Linked DNA regions of Xenopus tropicalis. The protein of the gene in region 6 interacts with the protein of the main gene of each other region in a biochemical or structural test. Links are inferred from orthologs where the notes say so. Each region holds a gene or a part of one and is shown on either strand. Other genes may lie near its edges. The genes, in order: scn5a, map3k2, ndfip2, ess2, hnrnpul1, nedd4 and rnf7.

What was found.
Region 1: the proteins of nedd4 (region 6) and scn5a form a complex in vitro, tested with the Homo sapiens proteins (3 studies listed by BioGRID, with this or other methods). The link is inferred for Xenopus tropicalis from reciprocal best matches to the Homo sapiens genes NEDD4 and SCN5A.
Region 2: the proteins of nedd4 (region 6) and map3k2 form a complex in vitro, tested with the Homo sapiens proteins (2 studies listed by BioGRID and IntAct, with this or other methods). The link is inferred for Xenopus tropicalis from reciprocal best matches to the Homo sapiens genes NEDD4 and MAP3K2.
Region 3: the proteins of nedd4 (region 6) and ndfip2 form a complex in vitro, tested with the Homo sapiens proteins (3 studies listed by BioGRID, with this or other methods). The link is inferred for Xenopus tropicalis from reciprocal best matches to the Homo sapiens genes NEDD4 and NDFIP2.
Region 4: the proteins of nedd4 (region 6) and ess2 interact in a test that uses a peptide from one of them, tested with the Homo sapiens proteins (2 studies listed by BioGRID and IntAct, with this or other methods). The link is inferred for Xenopus tropicalis from reciprocal best matches to the Homo sapiens genes NEDD4 and ESS2.
Region 5: the proteins of nedd4 (region 6) and hnrnpul1 form a complex in vitro, tested with the Homo sapiens proteins (2 studies listed by BioGRID, with this or other methods). The link is inferred for Xenopus tropicalis from reciprocal best matches to the Homo sapiens genes NEDD4 and HNRNPUL1.
Region 7: the proteins of nedd4 (region 6) and rnf7 form a complex in vitro, tested with the Homo sapiens proteins (2 studies listed by BioGRID, with this or other methods). The link is inferred for Xenopus tropicalis from reciprocal best matches to the Homo sapiens genes NEDD4 and RNF7.

What each region holds. Positions count from the first base shown.
Region 1 is NC_030682.2:13,453,893-13,457,920, reverse strand, and holds the start of scn5a (sodium channel protein type 5 subunit alpha), read right to left. Parts: upstream 2,801-4,028; 5' UTR 2,021-2,800; intron 2,014-2,020; exon of another isoform or gene 1,687-2,013; intron 1-1,686. UniProt on the Homo sapiens protein: Pore-forming subunit of Nav1.5, a voltage-gated sodium (Nav) channel that directly mediates the depolarizing phase of action potentials in excitable membranes.
Region 2 is NC_030685.2:86,477,614-86,481,634, reverse strand, and holds the start of map3k2 (mitogen-activated protein kinase kinase kinase 2), read right to left. Parts: upstream 2,801-4,021; 5' UTR 2,435-2,800; intron 1-2,434. UniProt on the Homo sapiens protein: Component of a protein kinase signal transduction cascade. Regulates the JNK and ERK5 pathways by phosphorylating and activating MAP2K5 and MAP2K7. Plays a role in caveolae kiss-and-run dynamics.
Region 3 is NC_030678.2:125,255,751-125,259,250, forward strand, and holds part of ndfip2 (NEDD4 family-interacting protein 2), read right to left. Parts: intron 1,843-3,500; coding exon 1,689-1,842; intron 1-1,688. UniProt on the Homo sapiens protein: Activates HECT domain-containing E3 ubiquitin-protein ligases, including ITCH, NEDD4, NEDD4L, SMURF2, WWP1 and WWP2, and consequently modulates the stability of their targets. As a result, may control many cellular processes.
Region 4 is NC_030677.2:153,459,323-153,463,530, forward strand, and holds the start of ess2 (splicing factor ESS-2 homolog), read right to left. Parts: upstream 2,801-4,208; 5' UTR 2,607-2,800; coding exon 2,454-2,606; intron 1,322-2,453; coding exon 1,153-1,321; intron 1-1,152. UniProt on the Homo sapiens protein: May be involved in pre-mRNA splicing.
Region 5 is NC_030684.2:79,222,536-79,226,504, forward strand, and holds the start of hnrnpul1 (heterogeneous nuclear ribonucleoprotein U-like protein 1), read left to right. Parts: upstream 1-1,169; 5' UTR 1,170-1,297; coding exon 1,298-1,382; intron 1,383-1,416; exon of another isoform or gene 1,417-1,502; coding exon of another isoform or gene 1,503-1,506; intron 1,507-3,645; coding exon 3,646-3,798; intron 3,799-3,969.
Region 6 is NC_030679.2:100,447,885-100,452,118, reverse strand, and holds the start of nedd4 (E3 ubiquitin-protein ligase NEDD4), read right to left. Parts: upstream 2,801-4,234; 5' UTR 2,138-2,800; coding exon 686-2,137; intron 1-685. UniProt on the Homo sapiens protein: E3 ubiquitin-protein ligase which accepts ubiquitin from an E2 ubiquitin-conjugating enzyme in the form of a thioester and then directly transfers the ubiquitin to targeted substrates. Specifically ubiquitinates 'Lys-63' in target proteins.
Region 7 is NC_030681.2:129,414,009-129,418,239, reverse strand, and holds the start of rnf7 (RING-box protein 2), read right to left. Parts: upstream 2,801-4,231; 5' UTR 2,762-2,800; coding exon 2,629-2,761; intron 109-2,628; coding exon 61-108; intron 1-60. UniProt on the Homo sapiens protein: Catalytic component of multiple cullin-5-RING E3 ubiquitin-protein ligase complexes (ECS complexes), which mediate the ubiquitination and subsequent proteasomal degradation of target proteins.

The DNA.
Region 1 (4,028 bases), on a different chromosome or scaffold from region 6:
ATTTACCCCAATTCTCTAACTGTACTATTTTACCCCAATTCTCTAACTGTACTATTTTACCCCGATTCTCTAACTGTACTATTTTACCCCGATTCTCTAACTGTACTATTTTACCCCGATTCTCTAACTGTACTATTTTACCCCGATTCTCTAACTGTACTAATTTACCACACTCCTCTAACTGTACTATTTTACCCCAATTCTCTAACTGTACTAATTTACCACACTCCTCTAACTGTACTATTTTACCCCAATTCTCTAACTGTACTAATTTACCCCACTCCTCTAACTGTACTATTTTACCCCAATTCTTCCCCATGGTACTGGATTTACCCCAACACTTTAACTACTGGATTTACAAAAGTCCTATAAATGTACTAGATTTACCCTAATGCTGTAACTCTGGATTCACCCTCCTCCTTCAACTGTACTATTTTACCCCAGCCCTACAAATGTACTTGGTTTACCCAAATTGTCCAGCTGTTCTGGATTTACCCCAGTCCCCCAACTGTATCAAATTATCCCAGTCCTCCAACTGTAGTTGATATACCCCAAACTCCAAATGTCCTGGATTAACCCCAGTCCTCCAACTTTACTTGGCTAGCCAAAATTGTCAAACTGTACAAAATTTACCCGAGTCCTCCAAATTTGATTTACCCCAGTCTTTCAACTGTATTAATATACCCCAATCCCCCCCACTGTACTGGATTTACTGTATTTATCAGATAAGGCGGCTGCGATACTCTTAGTTCTAACGCCCCGCAGACCCGTCACTCCCCGTCTGAACAGGTTTCTCTAGTCCTAAATGGTACTCAGCAATCAGCCTTAATCTTATCAATCTCCCGTGATGTCTTTAGTAGCAGCAGCAGGGCCCTGGGTAAAAAAGACTTTCTGCAACCTGTTATTTATATAGAATGTAGGGCAACCTGCAGCCTCCTTAGCTGTTGTTAAACTACAACTTCTTCCACAACTGAGCGCTTGAAGGCTGGGAAACAGTAATAGAAAGTATTATGCCCGCCATGTTGCCCTTCTGTCTTCATCTTGCCCAACTATACCTGCTGTCCACCGCCAACACACACTCCTACCTACAGCTGCTGCTCCGTGGGGCCCCATTATTGGCAGGGCCCTAAGCAGTCAACCGTACTGTTGTTTAAGAAAAAATAATTTTTTTCCCAAATGTATAGTAAATTAGTAGTAAATTGATGTAAATATATCAATATATATTATATTATACATACAAAAGCACACATATGTGCAATGCAGTGTGCGCAACTTTTCCCTGTATAAATGTGTGTGTGAATATAATATACATACAGTATATACAGTACCCCATTACAAAGCTGTAAAAGCCAATCTAGCCGTAGCCATTTTCAGCATGCCAAGATTTCCAAACTAAAATAAAAATTTACAATAAATCAAATACTGAATCCAAACAAAGGGTTTAAACCCAAATGAAGAAATTTGTTGCTCGCACCCCCGGTTGAATTCAGTAGACGGGGCAATAAGGGCTGAGAGTTGTGGGCGCAAGTCTGGGTATCTGGTTACTAAATGTACAATAGGAAGCAGATGTCTGGCACACACACTCAGCTAGAAGGTAAATAAATGAATTTGATTCAGGAGGCGAAGCCATGCAGCGCGTTCCCAGCACACAGGGTTAGACACATGCCAAGTCTGGGGGATACTTACAGCGCTGGAGAGCTGTCCGCAACAGTTATGACTCCCAGGTCCCCAGAACTGCGGTTAAATTCAGGGGGATTAAACTCCACCGATGGTTCTGCTCTCCCCCCCCCCCCTAAATCTCAGTCCAATTAAAAACTCAGCTCCCGTTGTTATTTGTGGGAGGCACAAGAAGTGGGGAATACGCCAAACCCCCCCACCTCCAGCTGCTGAATTTTGCCAAAGCTGAATAGGAGTAGTGAATATTGAAAAAAAGAAAAAAGCAAGAAGGAAAATAAAAGGGGGGCAAGTTTAGGTATTCCAAGGGGGTGAAGTTGTAGGCAAGGGTGAAGCGTTTAATTACCTGCAGAGGGTTTGCTGAGATTGAGGCTCTGGGATGTGTCCAGTCTGACTAGCAGTTCACAACTGGTCTCAAGGTAAAACCACTCCTCAGTCAACCAGGCAAGCAGCTGCCCCCAGCACTCACTGGGAGGACCAAGTCAAACCCTCTTCAGTTCTCTTGGAATTCCATGTTCCCTCCAAGCCTCGGGGTCCTGTGATAGTGTCAGGACAGGAATGTGGCCAAGAGATTCATGACTGTGCAAGCCCTAAAACCCAGCCAAGCCACCTCCACCTTCCCACCCAGCTGCTCCACCACAACTGCACACTTAGCCAAAGTAGGCTGAGATCCACCAAGGAGCAAAGAGCCCTCCTGTTCTGCGCAATAGGGTTTGCTGAATGCAAATTCAGATTAAAAAGGCAAATGAAATGTTAATAGCTGGTCCCAAACTGGAAGTCTAATCCTTTCTGGGGAAAAGCCATAAAATCATTATTAAAATCACAGTGAAACTCCCAGGCAGGCTGGTCCAGCTGGTTTCTCCTCTCCTGTGGTCAGGTAGTAACGCAGAGGCAGCTCCAAAGTTAGCATCCAAGAAGCTGAAAGTTTCATGGAAAAGCAAGAGTCTTGCAAAGTATTTGCTCCAGCTGAGATTCCCTTTCTGGCACTGTGGGAGCTGATCTAGCTGCACCTTACTGTGGGCTCCAGAGAAATACAAAGAGAATTGCTTCCACCTGCCAATGCAAAGCCTGGGGCAGGTGCGATCTCTAGCATGTTGTCTTCATAATAAGCACAACAGGGAGCACTCTCCACTGAAAGGGATGTGGCTGCAATATTCCCCAGCCAGTCACTCCCTTATACGAACCTCCCATAAGCAACTGTGCACGTACAAACGCTGGATCGTTAGCGCCACCTAGCGGCAGGCTGAATACGCTCGGAATGGAATCCAGCGCTGCGCAGATTTCGTGCTCTTTCAATCCGATTAACTCTTTTTATAATCAATGTGCAGTGATTTTGCCATCATTTGCCTTAAGGAACCAGACGATTATCATGACTAAACAGCAAGAGTTTTATAAATCTCCCTAGAAACAAAAATAAATCATTACAGCACAGTCAGGGTTAATTTTAGGTGAATGTCTCTTTATGTATTAGGTTTTACGAGAGATGTTAGAATTTAAACTCCAAATCTAAAATAATGTGCCCTCATCTATTATTCCATTATTTAACCCCCTAAAGGGGTAGTATAAGCTTAATAAGAGGTAGAGGTGATTCTATCTCTTATTTTGTAGTTTTTTTATATTTACATTTTTTCTTGTGCAGCTGTGACGCTTGGAATTCTAACAGCAATCTCGTTGCTAGGGCTCAACTGCTCAGCAACTAGGAAGAATAGCCGAGGGCCTGAATATAAAGATTAGCATTATTCATTTATTTATTTGTTTGTTTGTTTATTCGTTCTTGCTGGGATAATTTTTTAATTGCAGGTAGAAATGAGGCAGACATAGAAGGTCAATAATGAAACCTCATCCAATATAAAAAAAAATAATAAGGATTGAATAGGCCAATCTACTAAAACTTTATAGAAAGGTAAATTATCCCCCCACTGCTACTATAGGCACCATCTCTCCCTACTATACCTGCTATCCCACAGCCCCAGTCCCTTCCCAGAGGCTATTATCCCCCCACTGCTACTATAGGCACCATCTCTCCCTACTATACCTGCTATCCCACAGCCCCAGTCCCTTCCCAGAGGCTATTATCCCCCCACTGCTACTATAGGCACCATCTCTCCCTACTATACCTGCTATCCCACAGCCCCAGTCCCTTCCCAGAGGCTATTATCCCCCCACTGCTACTATAGGCACCATATCTCCCTACTATACCTGCTATCCCACAGCCCCAGTCCCTTCCCAGAGGCTATCATCCCCCCACTGCTACTATAGGCGCCATCTCTCCCTACTATACCTGCTATCCCACAGCCCCAGTCCCTTCCCAGAGGCTATTATCCCCCCATTGCTACTATAGGCACCATCTCTCC
Region 2 (4,021 bases), on a different chromosome or scaffold from region 6:
TACAGGTACTGTTTTATTATTACAGAGAAAAGGGAATCATTTAACCATGAAATAAACCCAATAGGGCTGTTCTGCCCCCAATAAGGGGTAATTATATCTTAGTTGGGATCAAGTACAGGTACTGTTTTATTATTACAGAGAAAAGGGAATCATTTAACCATGAAATAAACCCAATAGGGCTGTTCTGCCCCAATAAGGGGTAATTATATCTTAGTTGGGATCAAGTACAGGTACTGTTTTATTATTACAGAGAAAAGGGAATCATTTAACCATGAAATAAACCCAATAGGGCTGTTCTGCCCCCAATAAGGGGTAATTATATCTTAGTTGGGATCAAGTACAGGTACTGTTTTATTATTACAGAGAAAAGGAAATCACTTTTAAAATTCTGAATTTATTTGCTTATAATGGAGTCAATGGGAGATGGCCTTTCCGTAATTCAGAACGGAATTCATCTGGATAATGGGTTTCCGCATACAAGATCCCATATCTGTATTCCTTTACTTACAGGTGGTTACCAGCACCCTATCCAGGCTGATTTTAGAGGCCGTCTTAGTGTTCCTATTAGGGATGCACCAAATCCAGGATTCGGCCAAGATTCTGCCTTTTTATGCAGGATTCGGATATGGCCTGGTTGAACCAAATCCTTAAAATCATGTGCCTTTTGGCCACATAAACACAAAGTAAAACAAATTTAAGCAAGCACGACCCAGAAATAGTGTATTTGGTGCATCCCTAGTTCCTCTGCAGAGCAGTGACCATAGCACGGGGCCAAACAATTGCCCTTCCCAAACCATATCTGTTTGGACCTGTACAGGCTGCAACTGGAGAAGCTGGAAAATCTAGTTGCCTAAAAATGAGAGCAAGTTTAGTGACTTACTGCACAGCCCCTATCCGTCAATGCTTCTAGCCCCCCCACCAGAAACAAGCAGCTAATTTACACCACTGGATTGCATGACTTGCTGGATCAGCTCCCAGGAATCTCCCCCGTCCCTGACTGATCCCCTTAGGGCTGAGCTACACTGCGTGCAACAACACCAGATCCTGTCGGGCGCTACTAAATCTGATGAGTTTATGAGATCTTCCGGTCAATGTATCTCTGCAACAGCGACTATAAAGCCTTAGTACAGGTATGGGAGCCATTATCTGGAAACCCGTTATCCAGAAAGCTCAGAATTACGGAAGTGTCATCTCCTATAGACTCCATTATAAGCAAATAATTCTAATTTTTAAAAATGATTCCCTTTTCTCTGTAATAATAAAACAGTACCTGTACTTGATCCCAAATAAGATATAATTTCCCCTTATTGGGGGCAGAACAGCCCTATTGGGTTTATTTCATGGTTAAATGATTCCCTTTTCTCTGTAATAATAAAACAGTACCTGTACTTGATCCCAACTAAGATATAATTACCCCTTATTGGGGGCAGAACAGCCCTATTGGGTTTATTTAATGGTTAAATGATTCCCTTTTCTCAGTAATAATAAAACAGTACCTGTACTTGATCCCAACTAAGATATAATTACCCTTATTGGGGCAGAACAGCCCTATTGGGTTTATTTAATGGTTAAATGATTCCCTTTTCTCTGTAATAATAAAACAGTACCTGTACTTGATCCCAACTAAGATATAATTACCCCTTATTGGGGCAGAACAGCCCTATTGGGTTTATTTAATGGTTAAATGATTCCCTTTTCTCTGTAATAATAAAACAGTACCTGTACTTGATCCCAACTAAGATATAATTACCCCTTATTGGGGCAGAACAGCCCTATTGGGTTTATTTAATGGTTAAATGATTCCCTTTTCTCTGTAATAATAAAACAGTACCTGTACTTGATCCCAACTAAGATATAATTACCCCTTATTGGGGGCAGAACAGCCCTATTGGGTTTATTTCATGGTTAAATGATTCCCTTTTCTCTGTAATAATAAAACAGTACCTGTACTTGATCCCAACTAAGATATAATTACCCCTTATTGGGGGCAGAACAGCCCTATTGGGTTTATATTATATGTAAGTAGCTCCCCTATTCTGTATAATAAGAGAAAATACCATTCCAATCACCATACACTTTCTTCCCTCATTCTCTGTGGGTTTAATGTACTTGCCAAGGCAATTGCTTCTGACTGCTGCACTGCTGGCTGTGACTGCTGACACAATGTAGCAGATAGCAGCTGATTCCCATGGCAAACACAAATATTAGCCACACTTGCCCCCCCATGACACCCTCAGACATTGCTCCCCAGCCCCAATACATCATATAGCCCCCCTGTAATGCCCATAGCACCCCCCCTTTACAGTTGTCCCTCCCCCATAACAGCCCCCAATGAATTCCCCCCCCCTCAGAGTTCCATAAACACTAATAGCCCCCCAACACAACCCCCCCAAAGCCTGCAGCCCCCTTTAAAATGAATGTGTGGCCCTTATACCTGTCAGCTGAGCCGGGGGCCCGGTTGTACTTCCCAGAAGCCCTTGCAGCTCCGACTCCAGCAATCCCCCGCCCCCAGCCTGTTCCTCCCGGGGGGGGCGGGGGGTCACAGGCCCGGGGGCAGCGGCGGCAGTGTTATTCCGAACTGGGCCCGCTCTTCACAAAATGGCGGCCATCCCGGAACCCTCGGAACTTGCACAGGCCCCGTAACTGCTCCGCTTACGAAAAGGCAGCCGCGGCGTAAGGGTTAATTAATAAGGAGCGACGGAACCAAACCGAGCGTGTGAACCTGGGACTACGGGACCGAGTACGCGCACGTCACAGGGGGGAGGGGCTAGCGCCAGCAGAGACAAGCACGGAGGCGTCAATAAAGGGGAGGAGCACGGCTGTCATCGCCTAGAGACAAAACTTTCAGCTTATTGGCCCACAGCCTTGTCTGTCATTTCAACAGGGGATGGCTCAAGCACATGCGCAATTCGATTGGCTTGCGTAAACTCTCAACGACGGAATTCTGGGAGTTGTAGTTGTGAAGCTCACGGAGATGCGGAAGCTGAGCGTTCAGATTTAAAGTGATAGAGTTCCCTACTTGTGAGGGGGTTTTGCTCGTGTTTAATTTTCATAGAAATGTGGAATAAAAAAACACATTCGGTTGATAATGTATCACTTGTAGTATATCAGTGTCGCCTTATACCGCGTTAGACCGGGGTGGCCCTTCTCTTCCATTCCATGGAGTTTGTCTCATAAAGGTTTTATTCAAGGAAATAATGTCAAGTTGTTAATAGACAACATTAAGGGGTTCTGTGCCCCCCATATAAAGGCACAAGGCTGCAGGCTGAGTTATACAGGGAACTCTGAGTATCACTCATGTATTATAAGGGATAATGTACCCCCTACTGTAAATGATAAGGATATTAGCAGTCACTGAGGGGTTCTGTGCCCCCCATATAAAGGCACAAGGCTGCAGGCTGAGTTATACAGGGAACTCTGAGTATCACTCATGTATTATAAGGATAATGTACCCCCTACTGTAAATGATAAGGATATTAGCAGTCACTGAGGGGTTCTGTGCCCCCCATATAAAGGCACAAGGCTGCAGGCTGAGTTATACAGGGAACTCTGAGTATCACTCATGTATTATAAGGGATAATGTACCCCCTACTGTAAATGATAAGGCTATTAGCAGTCACTGAGGGGTTCTGTGCCCATATAAAGGCACAAGGCTGCAGGCTGAGTTATACAGGGAACTCTGAGTATCACTCATGTATTATAAGGGATAATGTACCCCCCTACTGTAAATGATAAGGATATTAGCAGTCACTGAGGGGTTCTGTGCCCCCCATATAAAGGCACAAGGCTGCAGGCTGAGTTATACAGGGAACTCTGAGTATCACTCATGTATTATAAGGGATAATGTACCCCCTACTGTAAATGATAAGGATATTAGCAGTCACTGAGGGGTTCTGTGCCCCCCATATAAAGGCACAAGGCTGCAGGCTGAGTTATACAGGGAACTCTGAGTATCACTCATGTATTATAAGGATAATGTACCCCCTACTGTAAATGATAAGGATATTAGCAGTCACTGAGG
Region 3 (3,500 bases), on a different chromosome or scaffold from region 6:
CTTTTTAGCTCAAGAAATAACACAAGTCATATATTTTTCGGGATTAAAACAATAGGCAAATATATGTTTGGCACAACCACTATTTATTGAACTCATAATGGGCAAGGGGGTATGCTCAAGTTTTTTTTTCCCCATCAGCTTTTGATTTAGAATTGCCTTGTCATAGTTTATATCTTATACCAGGAACAAGGGCAATATTATCCACAATGTTGCTTGATATATTGGGACCCAGAAGCTTTAAAAGACGAGAAAAGCTCTATTCACTCAGGGGTGCCAAAATCTTAGTCACCTCCCAGTGGACTGAATTTCTAGGTGTGGTCGCTGGGCCTGTGCTCCTGTTAGGAAAAACTGCACCAGTCAAGGAAATTTAAATCACAGCACCCCCATCTTGCTTACCAGTTCCTAGCCAGGGACTTGCACATGCGCAGTAGCACAAGGTTATAGGTTTTTTTGCAACAGTACATCTAAATGTGACAAAAGAGATGACTTGAATAGCAAGGTAAGATGGTGCTACAGTACTGTGTTTCCCAAGCCCACCAAGTCATCTTTCTGTGTGGAAACCTCGTTTCGTACGATAATCGGTGCGTGTATGGTATGTAGGCGAGTCGACCAATATCGCAGGAACCTGTTGATATCGGACGACTCGCCGATCGGACCAGTTGGAAAATTTTGATCGGGCGCCATAGAAGGCGCCTGACCAAAATTCTCCCTTCAGATCTGAATTGGCAGAAGGAGGTAGAAATCCTATTGTTTCTACCTCCTTACCTGCCGATTCAGCCCTGAATGGTGTGTGGCGGATCTTACGATGTTTCGTGCGACCGATGGTCGTACGAAACATCGTCAGATCGCCACGTGTATGGCCACCTTAAAGGAGTTAGGGGAGTCACCCAGGATTGCAGGGATTTTTTAAGGCAATTTTCTGCAGCACAGTGAATTTGCTTAATACACATCACAACAACCTTAAAGAAGAAGGAAAGGTATAGGTAAATAACACCTCAGTAACAAGGTCTCATCTTTATTTAACCTCACAGTGCAGTTCTCTATTGTCCCAGACATTAGAACCGAGTCGGGGAAGTCAGTGTATCAACTTATTTGATACATTAGTTGTTACATTTATCTAACCATAATTGATACAATAGTTGCAGATGATGCTGAGAAATTTATCAACGAATGTACCAAACAGTGTGTGTCCATTGATTACCGAGCTGTCAGACTAACCAGCAAGAGGTTAGTCTGACAGCTAAAACGGTTAGTTGGTTAAGAACCCCGTAAAAAAATGATGTAAAGGAATCCACACTCACAGGGCTTATAATGCAGCAAAAGACATGATTATATGACGCTGTGACATCACATGACATCACTAGAGTGAGACACAACATACAGAGTGAGACAAAAGGTAAAAAAGTAAAACAGAAAATAAGACCTAAAGTTAGCAAAGCACAGTTGTTATATGTCACATCATCCAGAAGGAAAAAAAGATAAAAACTGCACAAAATAAAATTAGACAAATATGTTTGTCCTTGTATTAAAGTAAACAGATATTGTTGCTCAGTGTCTGCAACCATAGAAACCAAAAGGAAAAGAATAGAAGAAATTCAAACAATAAAATCAGACAAATAAGTTACAAACGTATTTATTTGTCTGATTTTATGTTTTTATTAAACAAAGGATTCCTTAACTAGATGTACCTGCATCTGTAGTTGTTCCAGCAACAATGCTGCTGTAGGGTGGAGGAGAGACATCTGATGCAGATGATGAGGTTTGGGCAGCCTGAGATGGTTGCGTAGAGGTTGAAGGCTGTTCTACAGTTGGTGCCTCTGATGAATCATCCTCATTCTGAAGCTAAAGAAAGAAATCAATTTGGCATTTAATTCTCCAAAACAACTACTGCTAGCTATAAATATTGAGCCAAATGCACACTTGGAGCAATCTCAGTATCTCCCATAGATGTCAAAGGTTGAAGTGATCTGTGATGGGTTACTTATGTGACAATATGATGCTCTATATGTATTTACATATAAAAAAATACCTAAATAAGACTTGTCTGCCCCATTACTTCAGTCAATATCACTATTAATCACGACTGGCTGTGAAGCCTCTTCCATTGTGAAAGTAGGTAGGCTTTATTCTCTTCACGCATGCTACACAGCTTCCACAGGGCTAACCCTCATGCTAATCCTGGTTAATTTTATTAAAAACAATCAACTCCAGCTTTCACAATTTGTGCATTTGCACAGACAGCAAAGGTTACTACTTTTCCCTCTGATATTTATGTTACTCAATGGAGAGTAAGGGTGGTCACATATGGGCAGATTTAAGCCTTCCGACCTATTTGGCAGCTTATTTGCCCTTTCATGGGGACCCCTGATGGGCCACTCCAACTGATATCTGGGCAAAAATTGACCAGGTGTCAATCAGGCAGGATTGGTTTTTCCACTGGATCTGGGACTGCATTGGCTCATTGATGCAGTCCTAGCTCTGACATCTCTTATACATGTCACCGTAATTCAGTTGTTTGGCCTATGGCCAAGGTGGTCATACAGGGAGAAAGATCCACTCTTTTGGCAATCTTGACAGATGAGCAGGTCTTAAAGGAACAGTAACACCAAAAAAGTGTAATTACAATATAATGTGTTGTTGCCCTGCATTGCTACAACTGGTGTGTTTTCTTTAGAAACTCTACTAGTTTATATAAACAAAGTTACTGTGTAGACATGGGGGCAGCCATTCAAAGGATAAAAGGCACAGGTTATGTAGCAGATAACAGATAAGTTCCCTACAATACAATGGTGTTTTATCAGTTATCTGCTATGTAACCTCTGCCTTTTCTCCTTTTTTCCAGCTTGAATGGCTGCCCCCATGGCTACATAGCAGCTTATTTATACAAACTATAATAGCATTTCTGTAGCAAACATGCAAATTTTACCAGGGCAGGGCAACTGTACATTGTATTATAATTACTTTAAAACACTTTCATTTTTTGGAGTTACTGTTCCTTTAACATGTATGGCCACCTTTGATCTATATTTATTGCCAGTTTTTTTGGTAACAATGCGATCTCCTTAACTGGTATGCTATGTGCGCCCTATCTACACTAACTTCAACATAATGCTCTCCGATGCATAGTTTAAACACTCCACCAGCATTTTAGTCCCACCCGAAGACTGCTAGTTTATGCTCGGTCCCACCCAATGTTTTTGTCTACGATATGCTGAACCCTGGCCACTTTCCTAGTAACTCAATCTCACCCATCTCTTCCCCCCACCACTACCACTACTATTATAGAGGCAGTTCTCCAGTCCGTAAGAGTGATCAGGCCCATTTAAAACAGCCTTTCCAGAGTTTAAACTCCCATCTTCCTCATACAGTCTGACAAATCTGTTGGGATGCTCAAACCACAGATCAGCCTTCCTTTTTCCTTTCCCTACATTATCCTTTCTTACCGTTAACCAACTTACTTCCTCATCATCCTGCTGCTGTTCTCCTTTCCAAATTCTATC
Region 4 (4,208 bases), on a different chromosome or scaffold from region 6:
CGGATTTTGTCGCCCATTTCGCAAAACAAGCCACCAATGGCGAAACTCGAAAATTCACAGCAAATCCATGCCTGCCAAATTATTTTGCCCATCACTTCTCGTGAAGAATAATCTCTGTGCACAGATATACAATTCACTGCATTTGCATGGTACCGTGCAGGACCAGTCCCCACGACTTTTCCAACAGGTGATTAGTTGCTGTGACTGGATTTTAAAAATCACGCCAACTAATCACCCCATCTGTCTTCGCCCTAACACAGCAGAGCGTACAATATAAGATCCCTAGTATGTATGCACATACACTAGGGTCAGTTTCAAGAACCAGTTAACCTGACAGTCTAAGGTAGGCCTAGAAAACAAAAAGTTATAAAAAGATGCTGCTTTTAATTTAATTTAAAAATAAAATCTATATTAATGTATATTGGAAAGGTAGGGTAGGCATAAAATTACACTTTCTTTAAATAATACATTTTGGGAAGTTTTTTATCTTTCATTCTGATTTCCAAACTTCTGCCTCATTGATAGGGTACAAAAACCCCAGCAACCAGTTATCACTCTAAATTCCAAGTTTTACAGCCGGAACACAAAATAATGTAAACAAAAAAAAAGCTATTTTATCTTTAAAATATGTCAGTGTATACTGTAAAAACCTGGGAATATTTTTAGCTAGAATTAAAATTGGTATTAATAAACATATTCCCAAGTTTTCAATGCGACTGCCACCCACTTCCATTGCTGTCTCCTACCTTAAACCTTTTTCTCACTGCTCCAGTCTTGGAAATTCTATACCTATTGCAGTCTTTAAAAAAACAAACTCATCTGACAATTAATATTTACATTTATATATGTAGTAATGTTTCGGAATTATTTAAGCCAGGCTGCTACTCCCTATCTCGCATGGGAATAATGTGTAAAGCTTGTCTCGAAACCCAAAGTAATCAATTAGCTAGTAGCAATTACTGTTTACTGATTGGCGGCTACAAATTGCTACATTTTAGACATTTTATTACATTAACCCATTAGATGTTGTTTCTAAGCAGGCAAGCCCATTATTTAAAACCCAAGCAGCATTTGCATTAATTAAGTAGCATGAATATAAAATATATAAGTAACAGGATCTTCCCCATGAGCTCATTAGTAATATAAACTTACAAGGCAGTGGAGTATCCTGAGCTGATTTGCCCAAGGTGGAGCCAAACTTAATGGAAATCTGTCTCATCTTCTCAAGGTCTCCACATTCCTCTGCTTCCAAATATTCCTTCTGAGCCCGCAACTTCTCAACATCTGGGAAGAAATCTCTCTGAATGATTTTCTGAAGATTCTGCATGAAGATAGAGAAAAACAAAAAGGTGGTTTTTACAAACCACATATACTGTTTGCTATGCCGTACAAAAGACAAGCTAGACAAAGACTTACTTATGTAATCACACTTTATATAATAAAAATCAAGATTTGTCTAACCACTGAAACTGAATCTCTAAAACGGAGCATATGATGTCCACACACTCCACATATTCCTCATTAAAAAAAAAACACAAAAGAAAAGTTGTATTTCATGTTATGAATTCCAAGTTTAGGGGGTTAATGTGGCATTTCATTTAGGCATTAATCTGCTGATAAGGGTACAAGCATTTTAGAAAATATAGGGTTTCTATTTAAATCCTATTTTTTTGGGAGTTTTTTTTAATACAATTGCTCTCAGTAGTGGGAACCCATCAAAAACTAGCAAGCAGGCTCTTGTTCCAATTACTCTTTTCATTTATACATCCATAACATGTTGCTTTAACTTTGAGTGGCATGCATTAAAAGGAGAACCAGTGGGCTATTATCAAACTATATAGGGGTTATGTAAGGTACTAAGTTTGCCCATGTGCAGTAAGCCATAGTAAACAATGAGCAGGTAGCATTTACTGATCACCTTTTAAAAGCAAACATCTTATTGGTTGCTATGGGTTACTGCAGATGGGTAAACATGTAGGGGTCAAGGGTAAGGGCCCACGGTGAAATTAGTCGCCCATGGTTAGATCTCGGCTACAGTGGGAGACTTATCTCCAAGAAATTCCTTTCCATCGGCAATAAAGTGAATGGCCGGTGGGAAAGTTGCATTAAATTTTCACCTGCAGAAGGAACTTTGTGCCTGATGATACCACTGACATTTGCTTATAGCTGAGCTCCACTGTCTTCTATGATAATATATATTTAACAGTTAATATTAAAAAAAAACCTGTGATTATTGGTTGAAGTAGTTGCTCTATTGTCAAAGGGGCATTTGCCCGTCTCATGTAATTTAGTTTAGGTAACTTGCCATGCGTGTGAATATTATAGGGCCAGTGCTCAGTTTTTCGGCACAGTACTGCAAAGACTCTACGACATCGCACTGATCTGACAGCTGTCCCCAAAAACACACTCAAGAGCACATTCCTTCTCATGTCACCGTATCCCCCGTGACTTACCTGTATATACGTCTCTTCACACAGCACCTTCTTCTTTGGCCTGCTGCTCTCTGCTGCCTCAGGGACTTCTCTTTGTATGTCTAAAGCTCCTGCTCCAGGCTTGTGTTTCACTAATGCCCCAGTGTTTTCACTCTCCGCTCCAGGGGCTGCCATCCCGCGGTACTGACACAGAGACACCAGCACACAAACGCTCACATATATAAAGCCACAAGGATTCTTGCTGTGTATAGACGTCTAAAAAACAAATCGCAATCCCACCGCAATATAACTACATTCAGCAGACCCTCTCCGACACCATACAACCACAACGCATTCCGGAAGATGAAGCGCAATAGCGTATTGCATTCTGGGAAACGTAGTTGTAACGTGAGTAAATTGCCGGAAGTTGTAGTGTGGGATGCGGGGAACCTTCCAGCAATGAATTCATACAGGAGTCAATACAATAATAACAAAAGGGATAAATACCAAATATAATTATATTCAAGTTTAAATGCTGAGTAGGAAAGAGACCAGGGAAAGGAATTCCATTCCTTATAAAATTTACATTTTTTTTCCTCGGGTTTTCAGACTATTCACTTATTTTATAGGTACAGTTTGATTTTGCTTGTTTGCTTACAATTCATATTTGTATTACATACTGACACGGTATTTTATATCCTGTAGTTAATGTTATGTCACTTTATGTGATTTACAAAAGTATGGAACTATACCTCCCAACATTTTGAAAATGGAAAGAGGGACAAAAAGAAATGCCACACATAGCAAGGTGAATTTCATTTTTTGGGGTCTTGTTTTATGTGTTATTACAGTTTTGTTTAAAAAATGCTGAAATTGCCCTTTAAGCTGCAAGTCAGTTCCCCACAAGAGACCTGTTTAGCTTATAAGTTACAATTGTATTTCAGTGCAGGTGAAGCTTGTTAACTTTTTGGGCTCTCTGCCAAAAGCTACTTTTTAATTAAGTTTGAGAAACATTTGTATCTTTTTTGGTCTTCAGTGCAATGAAAAGGGCAATGAGGGACTTTTCAGTAAGAATCCAGGACTGCAGGCTGAGCTGTCAAAACAGGGCCGGAACTAGGGGTAGACAGACAGGCACCTGCCTAGGGCACAACGATTGGGGGGCGCCAGGCAGGAACCTCTCTTGCCTACCCCGTAGTCCACGCTACCTTGTCATTGCCCCCGCCGCTTGTCATTACGCGGTGGGGGCAATGACCTCCCCCTGTGCTTGATGGAACTGCACATGCGCGCCAAAGCACACACGAGGGCGGGGAAAGTGCAGGGAAGAGGTGACCGACCGCATTGCCTAGGATGGCCGGTCAGCTTGGCCCGCCTCTGGTTGGGAGCTGTTTGAGGTGCCTTGAGAATGTTTATGATCATTATGATTTAATTAGCATGCATACAAGGACATGCCTTTCAGAGGGGCTGCTGTAAGATGCCATAGACAGTAACTATTTAGTGGGCTGGTGGAGGGCTTTTTGGGTCTCTGTGTACTTGAAATGCCAGGGCCTGTTTGGAATCCCTGGGCCTGGTTTGCAACCCTGCTAAATGCATATACACTACTAATGTTTTGTAAAACATTGTAATGATCTTTGTCTAATAAAGACATGATCTTTGTCTAATAAATTACATATTTGTAATCTTACAATAGGCATTTTACAATAGGCATTTCACAACCTTACTGCATTCAGGCTTGCTGCATCAAGCTCCAGAAGGGGGAGCCGTTCACCTTAGGATATTCTCTTTGCAAATAGAGGAGAA
Region 5 (3,969 bases), on a different chromosome or scaffold from region 6:
AAGGTACGAAAAAGTCGCGGAAAATACGATTGGACTGATTGAGCAAACACTCGGAGCGTTCGTGAATAAGTAAATGTGCCCCATAGAGTTGAGCAAAGTTATGAACTGTTTTGAATGTGAGGATCATCAGTTTGAATTTTATTTTGGAAGCCAGTACAGGGATTGGCAGAGTGGCATGAATGAGGAGCAGTGGTTACTTAGGTTATGAACCACCATGTGAAGACACTTATCATCACACAAAAAAGGCAATGCCATTAATGGATTAAAAATGACATCACTGACTTGATACAAGAAACACAGCTATGCAAGTCATAATGCCATGTGGGCACAAGAGTGTCGTAATGCCATATGCTCTTTATTATGTTTAGTTCCATGACATGGAACAATTAAAAACTGCAGATTAAAGCTGGCCGCACGTGGCGATTTTCGATCTTTCGAGCGACCACTGACGTTCAGGGCTGAATCGTCAGATATGGAGGTAGAAACAATAGGATTTCTACCTCCTTCTGCCGATTCAGCCCTAAACATAGATTTTGCTCGGGCGCCTTCTATGGTGCCCAGTCAAAATTGTTTAACCCGCCCAATCAGTGAGTTGATCGATATTATCAGCTTTCTGTGATATTGGTTGCATCGCCGAGTTGCCATACACACACCGAATATCGTATGAAACAAGGTAAGAAATGCCAATAATTATCACTGACATTGAAAAGACAAGCAGGTAAAATTCAAACACAGATGTTAGAAGATAATAGAATAGGTTAAAGAAGATAATTTCATGACAAATTCATGCACTATGAAAAGGAAATGCCTATGCAAAAATCCAAACCAAGCCTAGCATTTTCTTGTACCCTAATGTGGACAACATATCATCTATCAGGAGGCTATTATTATTCTTTCAACCTGATCCAAACCACAAGCTCTGCGTTACAAAGTATATACATTGCATTAATATTGAACTGTTCTTAAATATGCACGATAACATATTGGGAGTACCAACATGGCAGGCAAAGCCTTACACATCGGTATATCAAGCTTTAACGTTTCATTATCATTAATAGACGTAGCGTTGCTATAGGAAACAGCTATCGTCGGTTTCTATTGGACATTCTAAGTTACCGCCCATCAGATTTAGCTAATCTGAGAGCGGCTGTAGCTCTCTCGCTCATTCTATTGATTAGTCTTCCTTGTGTGTTCTAGCCAATCGCTGTTTGCCTAGGCTGCGCAGGTTTGGAGGCCGGTGCAGCCATTTTGTTCACCCTCGGTGAAGACCCGCGTATTGGGGGAGGCAGCGTTGACGATGGGGGATCACCAAGCACAATACCACCGGGGCGGGTATCCTGCAGGGCCGCCTAGAGACTATCGCAGGGAAGGGGAAGGCCGGTGTAAGGACGGGAAAACGAGGGCTACACAATGGGGGTCAGATCTGGAATCGGGAATGTTTAAGGAATGGGGCATTGTGAGATATGTTTAATTAGAAGCAAAAGAAACGAAGGCAGAGTTGCATGGGTAATTGTTAGCTGTTTGGGAAAGCTCGGTGGAGGGCCGCGACAGGAAGGATAGGGTGTAAATTCTGACAATGGCAAGGCAGCGCTTGTGACATAAGGTTGTATCTGGGATAGTAATATAAGAGGGTCTCTGTAGGCAGACATTTCTACCTTACTCTGCGCTGTCCAGGTTACAGTGTGTATTCTGAGCATACAGCTTTGCCCAGTTCTTTTGTGCTGGCATGAAGGAATGCACCTCCACTTAATTAAATTGCTTATTGTTTTTGGGACAAGTTGCTTAATTTAAAGAATCTTTAATATGAGCGTATCCATAAGCTTTCATGAAATCATGTATGTGCTTCTCCATGCAGTGTAAATGCCCTAAGAACTTGTAGCATTCCATTCGCCATACATTAACCCCAGGAAATCACTTCTGCTGGTCATGAGATAATCTAACAGCAGCTCATTTACTCTGTCACCAGCCTTGCCCAACCCCAAGTATCATGTGTTTTGTTATTTATTACATTTCTAATTGCGTTTAGGTGCATGCCACACTCCTTAACCAATATGAGCTGTTAAATTATACTTCTTAATCCAACAAGCACATATTTCCTAATGTGCATTTGTTCTGTAACATCAGGAAGTATTTGACACCTGTTTATTAAATAGACATTCTTTTATTGTCTGCTTTTTTTCTAAACAAGAAGCCACTATTCAGTCATTGTATAATGTAGTAGGAAATTATTAAGGTACAAAACTCAAATCTAAAGCACTCACCCAAAGGTTCTGTTAAACACACACCTTGCTGTATACAAACCTAACAGACAATAGTTTTGCAGGTACTGCATATTTAAAAAATATTTGCTGTATAGCATAAGGTTTTTCAGAAAGGAAACATACAATCTTAAGGAATTTGCAATTAAAGGAAAATGTGCAAAATGTTACACTTTATGTTGAGGCAAAAGTAAAAGCTTTTTTTTTTCTTCTTGCCTGTTTGATTATTCACAATTAAAAAAAAAAAACATGACACTTAATCCTGTTTGCCTGTGCATATCCTACTACATCTAAACATCTTTATTGATATTCGTTTGCTGATGTGACCAAAGCAGAAGCTCCTTTTTGCTTTTAGGTGTTTATTTAAATTAATTGGCCCGCCACTACCATCAGCCTAAACACAAAGTCTCTGCCTGTAACAGCTTTCCATAATTATCTATGGGGAAATATAGTGCCCAAAGCACATATGGTTGCAGACAGACATTGGAGGCTCCAGCAAATTAATTTTGTATATGATATAGGCAAAAACAGCACAAGAATATCTCCAGCTGTATATAGACTGCTGTCTGGCTACTGGGCTTTAGTGGGAAGAAGATGTCAGAGTACCACAATGAAGCATGGATAGCAGAGGGCTCAAAATAGACAACCCATAATAAAGCAACAATGTTTTAATTTTTTAAAGGCATTCTGACAGGATTCTACTATTTCTTTAGTGCCATCTCTGGAACACTGGGGATGGATTTTTTTGGGTTGTAGAAAAAAAACAGAATTTGAGGCAGTTTCTTGTCCTACAATCTTTGTAAGCATGTAGAAACCCTTTGGACTTGTAATTTTGGGCTACAGTGGTCCTGAGAATATAGGTCAAAACAGTGAAACTATAATTCTTTTAAAATGTATGCACTGCTCTGAGTCATGGCATTTAAAAAGGGCATAACTACTGAAAAGCAAATGTTTGTGAGAAGGGGGGTCTTTTATACGTCTTGTTGCAGAATGTATTCATCATGTTTATGTATAGCACTGTAATTTAAAGTGGTGGTTTATCTTCAATATGTAAATGTAATTTTTTGTAAAGCTGTCCTCATTTGAATGTTAACTGCTATAAGGATGCTATGGCTTTATTACCATAGCAACAATGCTACAGTTTGATATAATAGAAGATAGAGATGCTCAATAGAAGGATCAGAAAAAATATAGGAATAATAAAAAATTCTTGCACTCAGTCTGTTAGTTAAATTACAAGGGAATAACAAGAAGACGAAATAATTACAAACAAATGAAAACCTGGCTTAGAGTAGGTCTTCCTATAAAATTCTCTTAAGTTTATTTCAAGTAGGGCTTCTTCATACATTTTGCGTGTGGATTTCCAATTATATGTCTCTTTCCCCAGATTATGGAAATCAACCTTCAGAAAACTATGGAATGTCTGCTGGTTTTCCTCCATTCAGGCAGGAGGGCATCAAGCAAGAGCGAGATCAGGGCTATGATCGTTATGATAGGAGACCTGCAGAGCAACCACCACCTCCTCTCTTGCCAAATATGGGTACTGTTTCTTTTCCATGATTATTTTTTCACATTTTACAGATGGCTGTAGTGCATACCAGCCTTGCTGTCTTTTGTTTTGTTTTTTTAATATGTCATCTGTATGCAAGCTTAATTTCACAATTGCAAAAAGAAATTGGTTATGTCAGAAGGATTGTGATGAAAATAGTGA
Region 6 (4,234 bases):
TGGTTTGGGGAAGATTTTAGAAAGCAGTCCTTAACAAGCTGTTGATTATTAAGGAAGGCAACCTGATCCTAAGCAAGTACGTACAAAACCTTCAGTGCCTACAGACCCTGAGTAAAGCTCTGATTTAATTTCATGACTGCTGTGTACAGATAGCTGGCATTACTAAAAGCTACTCTAATATCAACGTGTTAAATTTGAACCCACACACAGCATATCAGTATACACACCCAGACTAACTGGAGTCAAGAGAAATATTTTGGGAGCTGTTTATTTTTAACCGGTGCACAATGCTGAACTATAGCTGGCCAGAACACATTCACAATTTAAGACTTGCACAGAACTGCACAGTTTGAAGAGAAAACTTGCCCAAAATAAGCTTATTCAATTACAAATGCCATGGGGTCAGAAGAGCACTTGTGTGATACACTAAATGTAATTGCTAAGTGTTTACAGAGAAACAGCTAGGGACTTCTCAGAAATTTAGTACATTTACATGGAGTCTGTAAAAGAAATGAAGCACCTGATCTTTTTTCTTCCCCCCAACAAACACAGCTACCAAAAATCCCTCTTTAGAGCTGGTGATGAAATATAAATATAAAAAGGATAACAAGCAAATATGCAAAAGCAAAACATTAATTTTGATGAGGTGGCCCAAAATGTAATTTAATATGTTAAATAAGCTTACCTTAAGTAATTTCACAGAAGGCTTACCAGGCAGTTCTGTTGTGGGGCTTCTTAAAGATTGTTTCTTATAGCTACTAATCCTGCTTTCGTTTCCAGGGGCAAACTGTATGTGCAAATAAGAGGACCCTGATTTTGGATGTCTACATTTAAGGCTAGAGGCAGAGGACCGTTTTTGTGGGGGACCTTCAGAGACACTTCTTTGAAAAACATGAGTTAATTGGCACTTGTGAATATTTTTGTATCCCTGCTCTGAGCTTCTCCCCATCTGGCATTCCACAGTTTTATTGGAGGGAGAATATGCGGATGTGCTGCGCACCAGCCGACAGTGCCGTGCATCTGAGTTCAGCTGAGGTTTATCCTCATGCAGTTTGCTGTGTTCTGCAACAGAATTGCAAATATTTGGCAGTCCATCATCTTTGTCATTCAAGTAAAGCGGCTTAACATCTCTAACCTCACCAACATTGCAGGTGTTTTTGGAAAGCCGAACCCCATTGACTGCTGTTGAAAGGGACCCCTTGGAGGCTGCTTGCTCCTCTTTTTGTGTAAAATCATTAGAGGATAGCATAAGCTGGTAAGAAGTTTGATAGCAGCCCCTGCTTAATGGAGGGACTAGACTAGTTGGAGATGTTGGTGGAGTGTCAGAAGGAAAAATAACTAATGAAGAGCAGCGTCTTAATGGAATTCTTGTTTTCTTCCTTGCAGGAATTCTGACCTCCTCTTTTTCTGAGTGATCCAGGTCAAAATGGAACTTGCAGTTATTTATAGGCAAAGGTTCTTCCAGTTTACTTTTAAAAAACTCACAGTTTTCTTCTGGGTTAAAGAACAGGGCATTACCATTGGGTAATACATTTAAGTAATTGCTGTCACTTAAAGAATAAGTACAGCTACTGCAGTCACTTACTATACTGTTAGCACACGAGCCAGCATCACTTGCGGTACTTGCACAGGAGCCATAGTCACTGCTGTTGCTACTATATGATCCATTGTCACTTGCAGAAATGCTTAATAAACTGCCATTTTCAGCTGAGGTACTACTACTGATGCAGGTGTCATTTATGGTGGGTTGACAGTTATAATTCCTGCTCATAGTAGAATTAATTCCATCCTTGTAAGAACTGACGACGCAAATATCTTCCATAGCAGGCGCAGTGTTGCCAGATTGATGACATCTAGTATTCCTGCTTGGCTGTAAAGAAATCTGCACTGAAGTGCTTTTTTTGCATGGTGGAGAAACAGAATGACCTTGATGTATAGGAATAGTTTCTGGGGAAGAGGACTTCTGCACACTTTGCCTCGGAGACAGCCTCATTTGAATCACACCGGGTGCAGTTGTTGGAGAGAGTCTTTTAAAGCACATATGAATATTACTATCCAAGCCATCTCCAGAGCTTTCTGGTAAGGGATCAGTGTTGCTTCTCCTAGTTGCAAAGTGAAGTCTTAACCGCCGAGCCATTTGTTGTTTCTGAACATATTATAGATTTAAATATATAGAGCTCCCTTTCTCCAAATGCAAACCAAAAGCAGCAGCAAAGCATCTATAATAAGTGCAAGAAAATACACATACAGCGGCAGAATGTGTCCCAGTCAACAAGAGGCAAAGTACAAGCAAAAGGGTACAGCAAAGCACGTCATGAAACAAACATTTTCCAAGGATCCTAGCTCTGCACCGTCTTGGATATCTTCTATTTCAACTGCATTCACTTTCCAGGCAGTTGATTTCCAGCGACCTTTACGCTCAGCTTTACTGCAGCATACTGGCTGAAACACTGCCAAGCGTGTTTCAGTTCTACTTTCCCATATTTGCATGAATGAGTCCTGCCCAAGATCAACAGACCTCTTGCATTACTTTTTGTTTCTGTACCAGATCGGAACACTTGCCCATTTGAATCAATATGCCTATGTGTTCCTAAGCAATTCCCAGCCTCTCATATTTTTACCCATAGATATAAAGTTACAGGAAGTTTCAAGGAATGAAGGTCCACATAATCGAGCATCGGCGTTGGGATTGAATTTCTAAAGCCCATCCACACGTGTAAACTGCAGTAGTAACTGCAGGAAATTGGTACCTGTTATTATATATTTCAAGTATAACAGAAAATACTTTTATTTTTATAGTGGCATTTTTAGTTACAATCTTAACTGAAATGAATATGTTCTCTTAAAATGGGGAATTATTATTTTACTTTTGGCAAAACTACATCTAAACAGACTGTGCCTCAACTAATATATTTAAACTAATCTATAGTGGTCATATTAATTTTAACAACAGGAATATTTATAAAACAAGAGTGTCCTCTAAGTTCTGTATAACTTAAGAAATAATGTATTAGGTGACTACAGGAAATGGTAAATGGCATTTACATAGGCATACATAATGTAAAATACTTACAAAAAATGTAATGCAGTAAATATATAAAATAAATAAATTTAAAAAACAGAATGTAGGCTTGATAAGCAAACTTTGTAACTCACAACTGTCCTGTGGTGCCACCTAGTGGTTTTACTAAAAATTCCATTGTTGGAGAATGTTGGATAAATAATATTAGTTACCAGGGGTTTGCAGATAAGGGATCTCCTTTGAATCTCCTTACCTTAGGTCTGCCAAAAAATTATTTAAATATTAAAGGGATTGTCATGATTTTTATGGTGTACTTTTTATTTATAAATAACACTGTTTACATAGCAAATAATTTACTTTACCATTTTAAGTGTTATTCTTGAACCAACAAATGTATTTTTCAGTTGTAATAATGGTGTGTAGGCAGCCATCTCAGTGCATTGTGCCTGAGTCTGAGCTTTCAGAAGGAGCCAGCGCTACATATTAGAACTGCTTTCAGGTAACCTATTGTTTCTCCTACTCCCTTGTAACTGGAGGAGTCCCAAGCCAGACTTGGATTTCTTATTATTTTGCTACCTTCCCATTGTTCTCTTTGCTTATAATGGAGTTCATGGCAGGTAGCTCTCCCGTAATTTGGAACTTTCTAGATAATGGGTTTCCAGATAACAGAACCTATACCTGTAGTAAACGTTTGGATTGGAATTCCTTAAATCTAAACAAGGCCTAGTCAATTAAAGCAACTTAATTAGACAAAATCCTTTCTGCAGAAAAATGTCAACTGAATTAAAGCATATAAAATTCAGTTTTGTTTTAATCTTTGAAATAGAAAATAAATGTAGAAGAAATTGGCCTGGTTAAACCATTCCAAATCTTCCTGCAGTTTCCACAAGACCCATGGGGTTTGGCTATAAGTAAACCAGGAGCATGCCAAAACACAATTAGAAGCCAGTGAGAAAATCCCCACTGACTGCAGAGTATCAGAGTTTACAGGAATCATGCATGGTATACAGTTTGTGTGCAAATCCTTATAATGTTATTATAAAGTCAACCCTTTTAGTGAAATGTGAAGTAGAGCCTATAGTTTTCAAATAAAAAGACTATAGTATTGGCTCGGTAGGTTCTATGTTTTCTGTTAGCTCTTTCATCTATGCTGCATTTTTGTATGTGGCAATGCACAGGGTTAAAACATTGAGATTATCTGCAGATTAAAGG
Region 7 (4,231 bases), on a different chromosome or scaffold from region 6:
CTACTAGGTAGCCATGAACTCTCTCCCCGGGCTTAGAAATCCAGTCAGTTATTAACATACCCACACAGTCCTCCTGTTTGTTCTCAGCTTGGCAGCGCAGGCAGGCATCTAGAAAGGAAAACACACCTTCCATTAAAATATTTCCTCTTATAACCCTCTTCTGCCCAGCAGCAAAAAATAAATTATATAATGTGGCTAAACAGGAAGGAATTCCATGCAGAAGAGGCTTGAATCCAATCTGAGGTGCATGTGTGTATATAATCACAGACAGACCTATCTGACATGAGATTTTTCATTTCTACATAGACCAGGGTGAGGTAGGGATTTAATGCCAATGTAAATTAATGGGATAGTCGCAGGAACTGAATGGGTCCATGAGAGTCACAGGAAGACTAGTATGGATAAAAGAGGACGGAACTGTACCCAAACTGTTGTCACAAAGTAGAAAACATGGAACCGTCATTAACAGTATAGTACACTGTTTCTTTCAATGGGGCCCTAACTGATTATTATTCCTCCCCACCAAGCTTTAAATCTGCATTATGCATTCAGGTAGGGAGTGTCCAGCTGGTGTCTGTCACCCACACTCATTTGGTAAACAACTAGGATGGTAACAAGGGATTCATCTGACAAAGGCCTGTTCCCACTGCTCCCAATATCCTCCCCAGGAGAAGCTTAGCATTCCAAATGTTAGGCTTGCGTGACACTGCCCTCTCATAGAAATCCTTATTCTTACTTTACCAACAGTTCTTGTGCTGCCATTGCTTTCAGGAACAGTGTGGAGCTCAGAAGTGAGTGTTCCAACTGACGGATATGTGCTGTAATCTGCGCTCAGCATTGCCTGCGAGTATCCAGGCCCCACTACTTCACTTTCCCACCTACATCTCACCAGCACCAAAATCTCACAAACTAAATAGCAACAAAACAGACATCTTATGATGATGCCATGTTAAAAATCACTAAGTTTGGCAATATTTGTTGCTGGTGCTTCATTATACCCCCAGATCAGTAATGAGACTGAAGTGTGGCTTAAATAATAACTTCCACTAATCTGAAGGGGAGTCTGGATACTTCAAACCATATAGTGTTTGTTTGTGTATATTTCACAATATAGAGAACTAGATCCTTTATTAACATCAATGCTGTGGGACAAGTAGCCAACACTTTATGTTTTTTATCATTTATTTGAATAAATGATGTGACACAATGGGGTGTATGGGAATAAATGATGTGACACATTGGGGTGTATGGGAATAAATGATGTGACACATTGGGGTGTATGGGAATAAATGATGTGACACAATGGGGTGTATGGGAATAAATGATGTGACACAATGGGGTGTATGGGAATAAATGATGTGACACAATGGGGTGTATGGGAATAAATGATGTGACACAATGGGGTGTATGGGAATAAATGATGTGACACAATGGGGTGTATGGGAATAAATGATGTGACACAATGGGGTGTATGGGAATAAATGATGTGACACAATGGGGTGTATGGGAATAAATGATGTGACACATTGGGGTGTATGGGAATAAATGATGTGACACAATGGGGTGTATGGGAATAAATGATGTGACACATTGGGGTGTATGGGAATAAATGATGTGACACATTGGGGTGTATGGGAATAAATGATGTGACACAATGGGGTGTATGGGAATAAATGATGTGACACAATGGGGTGTATGGGAATAAATGATGTGACACAATGGGGTGTATGGGAATAAATGATGTGACACATTGGGGTGTATGGGAATAAATGATGTGACACAATGGGGTGTATGGGAATAAATGATGTGACACATTGGGGTGTATGGGAATAAATGATGTGACACATTGGGGTGTATGGGAATAAATAATGTGACACAATGGGGTGTATGGGAATAAATGATGTGACACAATGGGGTGTATGGGAATAAATGATGTGACACAATGGGGTGTATGGGAATAAATGATGTGACACAATGGGGTGTATGGGAATAAATGATGTGACACAATGGGGTGTATGGGAATAAATGATGTGACACAATGGGGTGTATGGGAATAAATGATGTGACACAATGGGGTGTATGGGAATAAATGATGTGACACAATGGGGTGTATGGGAATAAATGATGTGACACAATGGGGTGTATGGGAATAAATGATGTGACACAATGGGGTGTATGGGAATAAATGATGTGACACAATGGGGTGTATGGGCAGTAGTGTAACTGGTGGGCATGGGTGCAGTCCCACAGGGAATATCATGGCAAAATCCAAACAGATGGGGCAGATGGGGGGGTGAAAGCATTGGCACAGGGAGGGGGGGAAGGATGCTAAATAGCCAAGGGGCTATAGCAACATTACTGTCTATGGAGATTTGAGTCATCCAGGGGGGCATAAAAAGCTACTAGGAATGGGATGTCCCTCTCCCCCCAGGATGACAATACAGGAAGGGTAATGGTATATTCCATATACCGCCTGTGTGCGCCTGTCATTTCAGTAGGTGACAGTAACCCCCGGCCCCCACCAGAGACTGTATGGCCGATTCCCCAAGCAGGGCTGCTGCTGGCAGCGGAAGGTAATTCCCGCAACACGAAGCCTTCGCCCCAGTGCCAGCGAGCTGTATCTCTCACCCATGACCTGCACCCTGCAGATAGCGCACGTATCGCACTCCACATCCCAGCTCCACATCGCCACCGCGTTCCATTTCTTCAAGGAGAACATCTTGGGTCCGCTCGCTCCGTGCTCCTCCCGCAAAGCAGCCATACCGGCAGGGGGCGGCTCCTCAGATAGCCAATCCTTTCGATGTGCTGCGGTAATTGACCCAATGAGAGAAGAGCACAGGCTAAGCTAAGCCAATCGCTTTAGCAAAATATATCTGTAGAGCCAATCCCAGTACGCAAGACATAGGGTTACGCCCCTAGAGAAGCAACCAATAGCTATACTGGTTCTATTCGCCCGAAACAGTTAAGGGAAAGGCGCTGCGATTTGTTGCTGGGGCGGAGCATGGTGTTGCCTGATGTCAGTATTTGTGTTTAGTGACAAATATAATGAACATTAGGTTTATATTTAAAAGTGTTATCATTGATATATTCCTAGGTGAGGATGATTTTGCTCGTTTATCAACCCTGGGTGAATTTGCACATGGGCAGTAACCTATAGCAACCAATGACCAATTAGCTTCATTTCAGTCAGCTGCATGTAGAGTATTTATGTATGTATGTGTATATATATATATATATATATCTTTATTTATAAAGCGCTACTTATGTACGCAGCGCTGTACAGTAGAATACATTAATGTAAACAGGGTGTTAATAAGATAATAGATAAATACAAAGTATAACAATAAATACAGATAAATACAGCTGCAATAAGTTAAGAGTCAAAGACACAAGAGGATGGAGGTCCCTGCCCCGTAGAGCTTACAATCTATATGGGAGGGGTAACTTACAGACACAAATAGGCAAATATAAGTGCTGTAGGTCACAGTGGGTGACACTACAATATAAGTGCCAGTTCCCAGATCAGGTGCTGGGTGAGTCTAAAGTCTTTTAGTTTAGTCTTAAAAAGACTGGGGGAGGATTCTCTCCGGAGGACATCAGGGAGGGCATTCCAAATGTAAGGGGCAGAAAGGTTTAAGGCGGGAAACCGCAGTAGTAGTGGGGGGCGCAACCAAGCGATTGCTCTGCGAGGAACGAAGGAGTCGGCCAGGAACGTACGGAGACACAAGGGAAGAGATGTAGTGAGGAGCAGAGGAATAGAGGGCTTTGAAGGTTAGGAGGAGTTTGTAAAGGTGGCCATACACGAGGCGATTTCGCTCGTTGTGCGATGAACGATTATATCGACAAACGATCGTATGGCGATCGAGTTCCCATACGATATGCCATCCACGGGCAACGATAATTCGGGAAAGATTTTGTCGCATCATTATCGTAAAATACCTACGATCGTACATCTACGTACGATCGATGTCGTTGACTTCTGCTGCTGGCAATCGTGACATGCGCAGAGAACAATCGTTGAAAGACAAATGTCTGACACTCACACCAACTGGCAGATTTTATCGTTAAACGACCAAAATTTTTAAACCTGGCCGATCGATTTTGGGGACGGTAATGTCGGCTCGTTTAGTGGGCCGACGATCGTTCGTACACCACCAACTATACGATAACTTAACGATAGCATCGGATCGTTCGGGAATCGGTCGTTTGTAAGTAAAAAATCGGTCCGTGT